Xenopus tropicalis: one gene and its partners. The protein of the gene in region 2 purifies or fractionates together with the protein of the main gene of each other region. This does not show direct contact. Links are inferred from orthologs where the notes say so. Each region holds a gene or a part of one and is shown on either strand. Other genes may lie near its edges.

Region 1 (5,772 bases), about 91 Mb from region 2:
GTCAGAGCTATTTCAATTCTCAAAAATGTATGTTACTAGAGCTATTAGGCCAAGTAGGTTATTCCTAATGATCAGTGCTATTTAAAATGTATTGAAGTCTGTGTATCTCATTTACCAAAACCAGGGCAAATTTGCACCTGAATAATAACACACAGCAACCAATCAGCGATTGAATTAATTCAAACAGCTTCAGGCAGAACAATGAAAGGAAAGGTAAAAGCAAACTGAAAACTTGTTTTTATTATCACACAACTAGGACCAGAAAATCCCATCTGATTAGGAATGAAAACTCAAAAGGTAATAAAAAAAACCGAAATGAATGGTTGTACCACATAGGGATAAGTCCTTTTGGAATTTAATTTACATGTAGTTTCTGAAGCATGCCTTCACACAGAATTAGGATGAAGAAGGTGAATGAATTCTTCCAACACAATGCTGTAATTTGCTGGCCAATGCATAAAGGACAGTTGGCAGACATATTCAATACAAGGAAGCGTAAGTCATCTTTACTTGTCTCATAGCACAGGTCTGGGTTGCTGGGTCAGTAGAAGTCCAAATCTTTTCTTTAGACTGACACGGTGTCGAGAAAACTTATCATCAGGAGAAAAGCGTGCAGGGTGGGCTGAAGTGGTTGGTTGACCATCAGGAGAAACCTTCTGGAAATTGGAAGAAAAACACAAACACGTTCTCCTCTTAGTAAATTCTAAACTAGATCCATCACTTCTTCTAATAATTAAAATGGCCCTACTTTTTGACAGGTGGGCTAAGTATGTTATCTGGATAAACATGAACGCCCATTTGTCCCATGACAGTTTTCAGTCTGCATACAGAAACGTATTGCTATGTTTGCTATGTACATGTGCAGGATTTGAACTTCAAGCACACTAAACATTCATCAGATAGTCAGACCAAAAGAGCAAGGAAATGAATCACTGGTCTCTATAAGCATTCATTATCCAATCAATGTGATTCAATGAATCTGATGGGAAAGATGGACCAAAGCTGTAGCTTTGGTTCCATAGTCAGGAGTCTTATTGCGTAATGTTTTTAAGTCCATCAGATTCACATTTAAAAGTCCCTTTCCTTCTATGTTGCATAGCTTGTTTACTTGCAACTTGCACGATAAGAACAACAATGGAACACTAAGTTAAGGGCAGATTTATAGTACATATAAGGTGGTCAACGATCTTGATCATGATGTGTACTATGACTATTTCTTCACTTAAGCTGGCCATACATGTAAAGAATCCCACCTTGAGGTGGGTGATATTGGTCTGATTCGATTATTTGACCATTGATCACAACACAAGCAGGCTGTTGGAAAGAGGTCTGAGTGATTGCACATGTGCAATAACCTTATATGCAGGATTCTAAGCTGCAATGTGAAAACAGACTGAACATAACTTCATAACTGGGGATTCACACAAGCCCGTTACCAAAATAAATATTCTGACAATAAATATTTCTTCATAAAAAAAATTTCCGCTACACTTTTTAACAAAGTTACCACTTGCAATCAGGTTCTGTGTTGGTTTCAGATTCCCCTTGTGAAGGTTTAACGCAGCGCATATCTTCACTCATTAGCCCTATATGAATCAGACTGGCTGGCAATACAATTTATGCAATACAAGGAGGAAACAAGGCATGCACAGTACTGGAGCTGCTCCTGCTTCTTCCTGTTATGCGCTGCCAACCTCTGTAAAAAGTAGTGGACGTAGGGGCCGGCAAACCCTCCTCCAGTGAGACAGTGCAGGACTCAACATCACATAAGCCCTGACTTCATTGAAAATTTTAAAGGAAACAATTTGTTAAATTCCTATTGGCAAAATATTTTTTTGGCAATAGGGGCTTAAATAAATGTTAACACAAAGTTGGACATAGCCTTTAAAGGAACAGTTCAGTGTAAAAATAAAAGTGGTTAAATAGACAGGCTGTGCAAAATAAAACATTTTCAATATGGTTAGTTAGCCAAAAATGTAATCTATAAAGGCTGGAGTAAACAGATGTTTAACATAACTTCCTCCTTTACAGCTCTCTAAAGGCCCCCATACACGAGCCGATAGAAGCTGCCGATATGGGTCCCTTGGACCGATTCGGCAGCTAATCGGCCCGTGTAGGGGCAGAAACGAGCGGCCTGCCCGACCGATATCTGGCCTGAAATTGGCCAGATATCGATCGGCCAAGTTATAAAATCCAGTCGGATCGGGGACCGCATCGGCTCGTTGATGCAGTCCCCAAACCGACTGCCCCATGGCTGCAAATGTAATCCGATCATTTGGCCCCAGGGCCAAACGATCGATTATTTTTCTTTAAAGCTACTTGCTACCCGATATCGCCCACCCGTAGGTGGGGATATCAGGTGAAAATCTGCTCGCTTGGCGATGTCTTATAGTGTATGGGGACCTTAAGCTGTTACCAGTCAGTGACTTGAGGGGGGTTGGATCTGGGACATAACTGTTCAGTTAGTTTGCTTATGAATCTGACCTGCATGCTCACAAACTAACTGAACAGTTATGTCCCATATCGGACAAGTCACCCCTCAAGTCACTGATTGGTTATTGATGGCTAACAGCTTAGAGAGCAGAAAGTAGTGTTCTGGCTATTATCTTAAGACAGGGGTGTCAAACTCAATCACATAAGGGGGCCGAAATCTAAAAAACAGGTTAAGTCGCATGCCAAATTTTTTATTAATATACTTAGTAAGATACTAAGGGGAATATTTATCACAATGTGTAAAAAGTGGAGTAAGACATTACCAGTGATGTTGCTCATAGCAGCCAATAGATGCTTTGCTACTGTTGAAATCTGATTACTGATTGGATGCCTTGGGCAACATTACTGTTAAGGGCTCTGGCACACGAGGAGATTTGTCACCGGCGATTTTTAAAAGAGCGATTTGGCGACAAGATGAAAGACAAGACGCCAATGCTAAACAAATGGAAATCGCCAGCGTCAAAACATACGAGGCTACTTCAAATCGCCTGCTGTTTCAAATCGTACAGACCCTTTTCTGAGCGACTTGAGTAAACATGAGAGGGGTAACTGTTGAGTGTACCATGGGTAGCAGATCGCCTGGAGCTCAACTCTCATGAAATCTCTTTGTGTATTGTCGTGGCGACTTGTCGCCAAAGCGCCAGGGGGGAAAAAACGCAGGCGACAAATCTCCTCGTGTGCTAGAGCCCTAATACTTCACTCCACACAGCATGATAAATATACCCCTTAGTCTTAGTTACTATGTGAGGAAAATGGAAATTGATCAGGCTGGATGGTCAGACACCCTCACCAAGGGCCACATAAAACAGCCAGGTGGGCCGGATTTGGCCCCCGGGCCTTGGGTTTGACATTTATGTCTTAAGACATCCACTCACTCCAGCCTTTATATATTAGATTTTTGCCTTACTATATTAGAAATATTTTTTATTTCGCACAGCCTACCTATTTACCCAGTTTTATTTTTACACTATACTTTTCCTATAATCCCTATATAAAATGCTTTAATCGTGGCCACCAGATGGACTTAAGCAAACAATTTTCTTTCAATTTAATTGGAACTAAACGCTTAACTTTCTCTATAGGCATTAAAACATGTTGCACTGCCCATTTGTGCGACCCTCCAGGTACTAAGGAATAGTATAGGTCAAAGGAAAATATCAGCCCATCACATGCTGGTTTATAGTTCCATTGCTCACCTTCATTGTGTATACACGCTCCCCCTGCTCGTTTAGATAAAACTGCAGAAACATCCTCTAGCGTCAGGCAGCGACACGCGCAAATCTACAGCGAACAGAAACACACGCAGGTTCCACACTCACCAAGCGCCCCACGTTTTTCTCAACAGGGTGACGATACTACTTCCGCACAACTACTTCCTGTTCCGGTAAAGTTCGTCACTTCAGTAGTTCCTTCTCCACACCCCCTATCCCGCTCTCGTGTTGATATTTCGCCTTATTTTCGAGAGCGAAATTCTCCGTTTGTTATGTAACTACGGGCAGTAACAGCCTACTTGTTTTTGTTTTGTTTTGTTATTCATGCGCCCCAAATCCTTATTTGTGTTGTCTGGCCTTTGTTCTAACTAGTCAGTAAATCTGGGTATCATTCTCAGTCGTTCCTGAGGCAGCTTGAGGGCGCTGACCAATCAGCTCACTTGTGAGTTTAGCGGTTAGAACACGTACCTATGATGCGAGACACTTCTGCAAAGAATAAAAATATCAAAAAAGATTATGACCTACCAGCGTGTTGGAATGGGTGTAAAGGGATTGCAGCAGGAAGGAGGGGATGCTTAGAAGGAGTTAGCATAGAGACGGGATCTGACAGTGTTAGAACATGCAGGCAGGGGAGGTTTGAGGTGGTGTTTACTAGTAGGTTGGTGGGGATGGAGTTAAAATGGTCTAAAAAGAGTAGTAGTTACATGGTGTATCTTTTAGAAAGAGTCTAAAGGTGGCCATGCACGGGCTGATTTTAGCTCATGATATCAGGATTTGGCAGCTCATCTGCCTGTGTATGGGCACGAATGTCGGGCCTCCCCGACCGTCTTCTGATCTCGATTGGGCAGGTTTGGGTTTTCCATTGATCAGAGACCACATTGGCTGGTTGATGTGGCCCCCGAACTGACAGCTTCTATACCCGCCATTTTAATTGGTTTGGCCCAATATCGGCCACCCGTAGGTGGGCATATCGGGAGAAGAGCCACTCCAGTAAGAGGTTGGAGTTAGAAAGTATAGTTGGGGAAAGGGAATACCCAACCTCTTATACCCGTGAGCCACATTCAAATGGAAAAAGTGTTGGGGAGCAACACAAGCATGAAAAAAGTTTCTGGGGTGCCAGTAAGTGCCTCTTGGTAGCCTCCCTGACCAGTTTTCTTCTCGTCTTTTCATCAATTTTGGAGGGACGTCCAGTTCTTGGTAATGTCACTGCTGTGCCAAATTTTCTCCACTTGATGATGACTGTCTTTACTGATATCTTTTAACAATGAGATCCCTCTGATGCTTTGGAAGCTCTCTGGGGACCATGGCTTTTGCTGTGGGATGCGACTAAAAAAATGTCAGGAAAGACCAAGTAGAGCAGCTGAACTTTATTTGGGGTTAATCGGAGGCACTTTAAATGATGGCAGGTGTATGCTGACTATTTAACATGATTTTGAATGTGATTGCTTAATTCTGAACACAGCTACATCCCCAGTTAGAAGAGGGTGTGCACACTTATGCAACCACATTATTTTAGTTTTTTTGGTTTTCTTCCCTTCACCTAAAAGATTACAGTTTGTTTTTCAATTGAGTGGTACAGTTTATAGGTCACATTAAAGGTGGAAAAAGTTCTGAAATGATTTATCTTTGTGTCATTTTTGTACAGCACAGGAACCTGACATTTTACCAGAGGTGTGTAGACTTTTTATATCCACTGTATATGACTTTCTTGCTCTTTGAATCCAGTATGGCATCACTGAAGAATCAGAGCATCTTTGGGAAAATCAGCACAGATTGCACAAGGGGTGGTATTGCTAAGAACTGATTTGACACAGGGGGTATAGTTTCAGAGAACTTTAAACCATCTTGAAAATGTATTTTAGTCACTTAAGAATATCAACCGTCACTGTGGGGGGCAAGAGTTAGGCACCACCATTGATTATATTCCCTTGCCAGATACCCCATGCCTGAGCTTCTATCCGCAGAAAACTGCACCGGCCCGGTGTTCTTCCGGTGAGCACCATGGAGCAAGCCTCTTTCTGCTTCTTTCTTTACATGGGTGTACAATGTGAAAAAGCCAGCTTTTTAA
Region 2 (5,255 bases):
AAATCGGCGTAATTTTTTTTACACGGTTTTTCTTCCACCAGAACTTATGGAAAATAATGGCGTAATATCCGACGTTCAGATGGCGTTCTTTTCCATTTATTTTACACAGCTTTTTACTCCGTCTTTTTGCAAATTAGTTTTACACAGCATAATAAATCCGCCCCTAAGTCACTGGGGGGGTGCCAAAATGTTAGGCACCCCCTAGTGACTTAAATCACTTACCTTTTACCCCTGCTGTTAGGAGAAAACCGCACCAGCCCGGGTTACCTGCATCGACTGTCTCCTGTTCTTTCTTCCTTCTTTGCGCGCTCGCGCATGAGCAGTAGAGTGAAGAGCTGAACTTAAACAAAAAAGTGAGCTTTTTCATCTACTGCGCATGCGCCAGCCCAGGGATTCCAAAGACAGAACAAAAAAGGAAGAGGAAACACTCGCTGCTGGTACCCCGGGCTGGTGCAGTTTTCTCCTAACAGGGGCACCAGCCCAGGGTAAAAGGTAAGCAATTAAAGTCACTGGGGGGGGGGGGTGCCTAACATTTTGGCACCCCCAAGTGACTTAGCCTTTCCTTCTGCTTTAAACCACCTAATTTGGGTATTGGCACTGCTTTCCTGCTCTGCAACTACTAGTAACTTTATTTCTAGAATAATCGTTGTACTTGTCACCTATCTGGGTCTAAAAGCAACAAAATATTGTGGTGTTCTTCTCACACCAGCAATTGGCAAAAGTGCAGGGATTAGTAGTTGGGAATACAGTAAACATCCCATGGTATTATGCTAAAAAGGAATCCATCCCTGGAAACATGCAGTTTATATTTTTCCCATACGCTTTCAGATCTATTTTTATTGCAGCAGTAACATCTACTGTGATAATCTGTAGTTTAATCTTTTATTAATAGCACATAATTAATGTAGCGTCATCTCCTATGTAGTATAAACAGGGCTTTACATGCCAAGGCTCATTTATCAGGAAAAAGGGGGAGAATTTTAATCTTAAATCATTAAAAATGTTCTTAACAGTATATTTTTCAAAGAAATATTTATATTGTGGCATAAAATTTAGTGCAGAAATACAGCCTACTTTTAGACTGTTGATTGCTGTTGAAAAGCATTTTTATAAATCCGAGAAGTGGCTTTGAAACTGAGAGTAGTATTTGCATAAAAAGCCAAGAGTTAATATGGCCTATGATTCTTCATAGTTTTACTAAGCAAGTGTAATTATGCAGCAAAGTCCTCTGATGTGTAAAATATAGCATAAGTATCATGAAAGCAGTTTTATATTTAAAATAAATAAAGGGAGCATAATATAACTGCTTTCTGAGCAGCTAGAAATATAGAACAGAAATATTCGAGGGCAGTGACATAGAACAATAGAACCGAGTTTGAGTAGCAGGACAGGATGATTAATAGAGTTGAATGCTTCAGAGGATGTTTTGTGGGTTTTTTTTTTTTTTTTTTTTTTTGCAAAGTTTGGCCAAAATGGGAAGACTTTGCAAAAGAAATGCTTTCACAAATACAGTAGTTTAGCAAATGAATCAATTAAATTGTATAAAGTTCAAGTAGTTGATTAGATGACCTACCCTCTGGAAAACAGGGTTATCAACCACCTTCTCCATTACAAAAATGCGCAGATGAGATTGCCCAGTCCCACTTTTGTGCCAACAGAATTCAGCCAATCAAGGCACCCACCCAGTCACTTTGCCATTCTCCATAGAAAGCTTTCAAGCATTCAAACTCTACTTATTGGTGGGATTGCACCTACCTTGCAAGAAAACATGGCAACATCAGTATAGAAACAGATTTGTGACATTTTGTACGTTGAACTTTTCCCATGGTTGAATATCTATAGGAAAATTGCAAAATAATTGTATCTTCCTTTTCAGGTTTCAACACAACCTGACCACAGGGACCCCCATGGGCAAAAACCTGTAGTCAGGAAACTGTTTCATGCTAACCCTACTGTCATCATATAATTTTATTGTAGCATATAACTGGATTCTGCATCTGCCCAAATGGTGCACAGATTTAGGTTGCTACTATATAATAGAAGGGCCAATGAATGCTCACTATATTAGTGCAAAGTCTCATGTTATCGTTTGTGTCATTATTGATAGATTTTTTTTTTTTTTTCTTCCAAACATTACTATATCTACAGAAGTTAAATGCTGGTTAAATCTAAGCGAAAGTATATGTAGCAATTTTCATGTGTACACTTCTTCTGTTTTCTCGAGGTTATAGTTTTCCGACAAATACTATTTTAGGTAGTGCTACTTGGCTTATATTGACAGATAACTACTAATAATGTTGTTCTTTCCATGCTGCAGCATCATTTTTAATTATGTTGTATGAACATTCTACTGTACAAACCGCTCACAATAAGGATGTAAAAATATACTTCTGCTCTTATCAAACCACATATTAACAAATGGTACACTTGAGCTTGAAGCCCAGGTCACATTAACTATTCTTGGTAATGTATGTTCTCTTAATCTCCTAAAACACTGCCAGATGGCTGGCTTCAAACCTTTGTTTAGTAAATGATATGATTTATGTTTGCGTCTAATACATTTTCTAATTATTTTGCTTAACAGTGGTTCGTTAAGCCGCTGTGCTGTTCTGCTAAATGCCTTTTATTTCTCACTTTTCTCCACAGATATTTGAAATATTTGGACCAGTTCCACATCCATTTTATGTGATTCGCTTTAATGAAAAAGGCCAAATTGAAAACAGGGGTATCAAGATAAAAGACACAATGTTTTTTGCACCCACGGTTAAAGACTTTACTCAGTATATAATACCGGATAAGTTACAAATGTAAGTAATCTAAAAGATGCAAGCAGTTTTGGATAAGTACTACCATCTACACCACACTGCATTGTGCCATCTGGAAACTTTGGCTACTTGTCCTGCGTTCTGGATTGTATTGGGATTCTTAAGTCTTACCTGTTGACCACTGGCAGAGCATTACCAGTACTAGTACATATGTTAGCTGGATTGATATATTAAAGACTTGCTCTTTCAGGTATCAGTACATTGAGTGTTACATCACACTTTACACAGTGCTGTGAAAAGCCACTTTTCTTAGAAATATCAGTTATTTGGTTGTGTTTATAATTACAGGAATAGAATCTAAGGAATACTTGGGACCTGTGGTTTTCTGGAGAAGGGTTGTCTCTGTAATTTGGAGTGCCGTTTCTTAAAGGACATGTAAAGCCTACATTTGCCTACAATGTATATCAGTTGGGCACGTCTCCCCCACCCAAATGGCATTATTTGTACTGCATATGTCCCCTCCGCTTGCCAGCACCATCCCATTTTCCTAAAGCAAATAGCAGCTTTCACCCGTGGCCATTTTTCCTCTGATACATATTTGGATACATTTAAATCTGCAAACAGCATACACACACACAGACCCTTATTCAGCATACATTTCATCAAGAATAGAGGCTCACACAGGCAGAACTGTCTTTGATAAAACTTCTGCTTTGTTTGAGCTGAGCTCAGGAGGGTTGGTTGGGAGAAAAAAATTGAAGCAGACGCTAGAGCTGAGTTTCTATGGGAACCAGCAATGCCATCTCTTTATTCGCTGCTAGACTGGGGGGCATGTTTAGTAATCTGAGCTTAGAACAACTGAACATGCCCACAAGCCAACAGCCAAAGCAAATTCCTGAGGGAGGGGGCTGAGTGGGTTACAGGAGGAGAAGCAAATCTAAGTGATTAAGGAGATGTTGCAGCCTTACTATTAACCTCTGGACAACCAGAGGCAGATATTGAAAGATTTCAAAGAGGCTGTTCACTGATTACATTTTTGTGTGTGGGGTTTACATGTCCTTTAAGTCTACTAAAACAATATCAGAAGAAACTGTTTTGCTATCAACATCAATATATGTTGGCTCGGTTATCATCCAGTAAAAGTTACTCCCATATTACAGAGTAACACAAAATCAGTTAGAAATAAGAATTGTTTGCTTAAATAGGGCTCTCTGGAAAATGTCACAGTGCCCTCTTTTTGTGTCCTACACACTGTTGGTGAACTCGCTGCTGTGTTACAGTCAGCACACAGTTTTTCTTTTAAGAGTCCAATTTTCATGTTTTACTGAAAATTCCACTCTTTAATGTGCCTAATCTTAAAGCGCCCCCGGGGTTATTCTAACGCAGTGGGTCATGTGTCAAGGTGACACATTTGTGAACACACAAGTATAGACAAAAATACCCACAAATATCCACAAACATTATTACCACTGCTGAGGAAAACAATGACATATATACAGTAACAATCACAAGCACACAGACAAAACCAACAGAGAGACAGTTCTACACAATTATTGTCTCTAACATGCTGTGTTACATAGAGTTGTGCACACACAGTGCTCATATTTAAAAACAAGCAAAACATATGTAACCTGCTTGTACTTGTCAGCCCTTTGTGTTAGATTCATATATATATATTAGAAATTAAGGGATTTTATTGCCTTAAAGGGATAGTAACACATTCCAGGTTTTAACAGGAATGTGCTATGATTACTCTAGACCCAGATATCAAAAGCTACAGTTACCCCCCGTCTACCTCCAGCCTTCTGCTTAGGGCTGTGATCCCCCATGCACATTGTCATTCAGGAAGCTAATCCTTGTAGGAGGCTGACACAGTGTGCTGGGGGTAGGCAGGGGGCATCTGTACTAGGAGAGGTTAGTAATATCTTCGTTTATAGGGGAATAATGACACATTCCTGTTAAAATTGTCACTATCTCTAAATTCAGCTACACTAGATACATATTGTAACTTTGTTTATGCCCTAAGCATTTTCTTTGATTTACTAAAGCATCATTTTGACCTTGGAAGATATCATAAAAATGGTTAACACTTTTCACATAGTATGCATATCTGATCATCTCCCAGCCCCCTACTTACCAAAATAAGGATGTTTATGCTAGTTTTATCAACAATAGTGCCTTTAACCAACTTACCAAAAGTTGAATGTAGAAGCTTATAAATTGTTACATAATTTCTCTTTCCTGGCACTATGTGAGTATATACTATACAGATTCTTTTTTTTTTTTTAATATATAAGTTGCAGCTCACAACATCACATGAAATCATGGCACGACCACTTAGTTCGGCTAGATCAAATTTGCATGACAGCCATGTGGGTCAGACGTCAGAAAAAGCAGCCAGCAGTATAAACAAAGCATTGATGTCCTACTATGCATAATCATATGCTATTAACAGAAGGGTATGACCTCCTATAGATCTGGGAGGTATTT
Region 3 (3,882 bases), on a different chromosome or scaffold from region 2:
TGCTTGTGAAGATATGAAGTACAGGAGACCCCCTACAAGTTGCTAGAACATGGTGTTATTATTTTAATTAAAAAAACGAATTTTTAGAAAGCACTAAGGGGTCTTATAGCTGTTTCAAAAAAAAAAAAAAAAATGGGGGATACCAGGTTTCCAGATAAAAAATCATATACAGAAGCATAACCATGGCAGGGTAGAGGGAGAGTCCTGGGAGCAGACATGCCAATAATTCATATATAATTTGATATGATAGATTTGTCATATCAAATTATATATATATATCGGGGACACACCTGACTATGTGGCTACAGTGAGGGTATAACTGCCCTTGGGAAGTGTTATCTTGCTCCTGGCTCGGCTCATGTTCCCCTCCTGCCTACATATTAATGGCCTCCTGGGATGTGTAGTTCCACAGAAGCTACTGCCATTCTGGCTGAGCACTCTCACAAATAGAAGCTTTGCTGTCAGTTGTGCTGGGAGACATGCTGCATTGCGATGGGAGCACACACAGCAGGATGGCAAGTACTTGATACTTAGTATGGCAGCTTCCTTAGCCTTCCCAAACTTGCCTGACTGTTAAAAAAAAAAAAAAAAAAAAAACTTAGCAGTAGCTGCTGCATTTCCCACCCTAGGCTTATACTCGAGTCAATAAGTTTTTCCAGGTTTCTTAGGTAAAATTAGGTACCTCGGCTTATATTCGGATTGGCTTATACTCGAGTATATACAGTAAATAATCTTTTAGTACACTTAAGGTATGGAGATCCAAATTACGGAAAGATCCCTTATCCAAGAACCCCCAGGTCCTGAGCATTCTGTATAATGGGTCCCATACCTGTACTATTGGAGAAAAATAGGGATTCTTCACAAATCTATCCTAATGGGCCTTTAAACTACTGGTGTCTTCTAACATCTTATATTTACCAGATCTAGTCACTGCAAAATGAGTGTGATTTCTTTACTTTAGTCCTTTGTCATACAACTAATACTTATAGACAGATCTTCTAAAAACAAAATTGCAAAAACAAATTCTCCTATACAAAGTCCTACTCAATTGTGCATAATACTCTTCTTGGTTAGAAACTTCTAGCAAACATTTACTGTGTAAGGGAATGGCACATAAACCATTGTAGGTGTTTTGCCACCTGAGTGATTTATTGAGAATCTCAGTCAAATATTCCTGGAACCAGTCATTGTGTATAACAAGAGGCAGCACTACATAGAATGCTAATGTTAAGCATTACACATATCTGCAGACATAGAAACACTGGTGACAATGTCCTTTGGCTTCCATTAATTTTAGTGGGAAGTGAAAGTGTCTGTTTTCCAGTGAAAAACTGCTCACAAACGTAACATTTTTGGATGGAAAGTGCTACCACGCTTCTGATCTGCTGCTATTATAGTCAATGGGTGCTTTGGTAGGCAGTTTAGGAAGGGTTGGGTTTGCTTTTGCCAGAAAAATGCTGGCATTTCACATTAGCATATGAAATTAAGTAAAGTACAGATTTTAAATAGACAAGGTTTTTAGTTAAAGACACAATACATTAGAATGTAACAAAAATGATTGTGAGATGCTCCAAGGTTTGATCCTGTATTTTGTAATGTTCTATTCTATAACAAGCTTAAATTGGCTTATTTTTATTTTTCCATATACATCTGATATTTAGTGTTTAGTCAGTGAGAAGCCATGCCCTGCCAGTTGTCACTTTAAAGACATCTCTCCAATGTAGCCTAAATATCCAGTTTTTCAAATTTCTTGTTATTTTAAGGCCTTCAACTATTTCTGAATTCTAACACATGATTAGTTAATTCTTGGCCATCTATCCTAGTATAGTATTGATATTTGTGTAAGGTGATACATTTGCGCTTGTTTCAGGACCTAGGAGCAGCTGCTGGCTCCAAGCGCCCGACCTGTGTGATACTGATCAAACCACATGAGGATTACCAGGAAGCATATGATGAATGTCTAGAGGATGTACAAGCCCTTCCGTTACCCTACTGATCTGGACAACTTTAGAGGATACTTTTCCATTAACCATTCTGGCATACTGTGAGGAAAATGGTACCAGACATTTCTTCGTACACACTTTGCATGCAGCTCTAAAGACAAACTGTGAGGACATTAAAGTGTTTGCTGTAATGTGTCAGCTAACCCTTCTGTCTAGGGCTGAGCCAGTTAGGAAATTACAGTTCATTTACTGATTAACAGAGCCTGTTAACACCATTTTTTTAAAGAAATGTTTTTTGGAGATGGATCCTAATTTTGGAAGGGGAGCTTCTTTGTAACAGATACTGACACTTGCTGGAGTACAGATCTAAATTTATGTCCCCCTGCCTGGTATCCCAAGATATCCATAGCACAGTGATATGGGTCAAAGAAGGTTAATTTTCAATTTGAATATAGACATATTACGAAATAAATGACCAATATTTTTTGTTATATATGGATTATTTTCCTGCCTATTCTCTCTTTAAGATAACTGCTCATTCTGGGAGCGGTCAAGGTGAACAATTAGTGTTTTAGGGTAAGAAAATAAAGCATGTTGGGTTTTTTTTGGTGGGTTTTTTTTATTATTCAGGACACATTTCCATTAGGGCCCTTTATTTGGCTGATGGGTCATGCTGTCACGTCATGTGGGTGGCTAAGAAAACATGCAGCAAATATCCCCTAGTAGCCATTTAGCGGGGTTAACAGGAATTGGCCCCTACAGCTGTTTGACTTCAATCAAAATCTTGTTAAAGTGCAATTAAATGATGTTTAGGCAGATTTAAAAAGCCCATGTTGTTCTGAAAAAAAGAATGATATAAAATTTTTCTAGGTAACTAAACTTTGCCCTGGTAATGTCATGAAATATCTAGCAAATAAAATGCTAAATTCTACACAAGGAAAATTATTTTGAGCACATCTGGACTGTGTTTCAAAAGAGGCCCTGGCATTTCAATAAATAATGATTTGTATATGGCATCTTACAGCAGCTGCCAGAACCCACAGATTGCCAATCGGGGACTGCTTTGGAGTCATAGGCTATCAAACAATGTTAAGACACACCTCTTGGTGCTGGAGCTAAGGCATGCATGTCTTTTGGATGAATAAAAGCCATAAATGGAAAAAAAATGGCATTTTACAATGCAATCTTCATTAGGCCTTTATTAAAGGAGAATGAGAGGTGTAATCTCTCTGGGGTGCCAAAATTCTAGGCACCCCATCAGTGATTATGATCACCTACCTGAGATATGGGTGGACTTAAAACTGCACTTGCCTGAAGTACTAATCTAGGAGCACCACATTGCAGTCTTTTTCTTGTTCTTGGCTCTGAGTGAGCATGTGTAGTAGAGCAAAAAGCCGACACAGGGTACAGCAACCACAAGGGGATCACTGTGAGACAGAAGATGATGACATAGCGCTCCTAGCATCATGCCCTGGGCCAGTGCAGTTTTCATTACACAGGAGCACTGGCCCTGAGTTGTTGATTATAATCACTGGGGGTGTCTAACAAATTGCCATCCCCTGGTGATTATCCCCTTTCTTTTTTAATTACTAATTGTAATAGCACATTTTTAAAAACCTGTTTGTACATGTTTACATGCCCATTGGTGAAAACAAAAAAAAAATTAAGTTTTTCTTAATACTAAACAATGGAGATAAATAAATGATATATCCACTAGGTGGCACTCTAAGTTGTTTAGACATCGAATGATGCAAGAAAGTTCTTTAGCTTTTCTATATAATCTGTTAATGTGAGTGGATCAAGAGGGAAAAACTAGAACAGAAGTTGAGTGTAGGCGACAGAAAGGGAATGAGTATATATTGCATTCCCAGGGGTATTCCTGTGCACCAAAAATGTCCATGAAGGGCATATGAACTGTTAATCTAAGAAGGAAATTAAG

The links.
Region 1: the proteins of naf1 (region 2) and nop10 purify together in Homo sapiens (co-immunoprecipitation; 6 studies listed by BioGRID and IntAct, with this or other methods). This does not show direct contact. The link is inferred for Xenopus tropicalis from reciprocal best matches to the Homo sapiens genes NAF1 and NOP10.
Region 3: the proteins of naf1 (region 2) and nhp2 purify together in Homo sapiens (affinity purification with western blotting; 3 studies listed by BioGRID and IntAct, with this or other methods). This does not show direct contact. The link is inferred for Xenopus tropicalis from reciprocal best matches to the Homo sapiens genes NAF1 and NHP2.

What each region holds. Positions count from the first base shown.
Region 1 is NC_030677.2:142,941,474-142,947,245, reverse strand, and holds nop10 (H/ACA ribonucleoprotein complex subunit 3), read right to left. Parts: upstream 3,786-5,772; 5' UTR 3,744-3,785; coding exon 3,690-3,743; intron 657-3,689; coding exon 516-656; 3' UTR 221-515; downstream 1-220. UniProt on the Homo sapiens protein: Required for ribosome biogenesis and telomere maintenance. Part of the H/ACA small nucleolar ribonucleoprotein (H/ACA snoRNP) complex, which catalyzes pseudouridylation of rRNA.
Region 2 is NC_030677.2:51,933,976-51,939,230, forward strand, and holds part of naf1 (H/ACA ribonucleoprotein complex non-core subunit NAF1), read left to right. Parts: intron 1-2,646; coding exon 2,647-2,807; intron 2,808-5,255. UniProt on the Homo sapiens protein: RNA-binding protein required for the maturation of box H/ACA snoRNPs complex and ribosome biogenesis.
Region 3 is NC_030679.2:47,804,056-47,807,937, reverse strand, and holds the end of nhp2 (H/ACA ribonucleoprotein complex subunit 2-like protein), read left to right. Parts: intron 1-1,870; coding exon 1,871-1,996; 3' UTR 1,997-2,434; downstream 2,435-3,882. UniProt on the Homo sapiens protein: Required for ribosome biogenesis and telomere maintenance. Part of the H/ACA small nucleolar ribonucleoprotein (H/ACA snoRNP) complex, which catalyzes pseudouridylation of rRNA.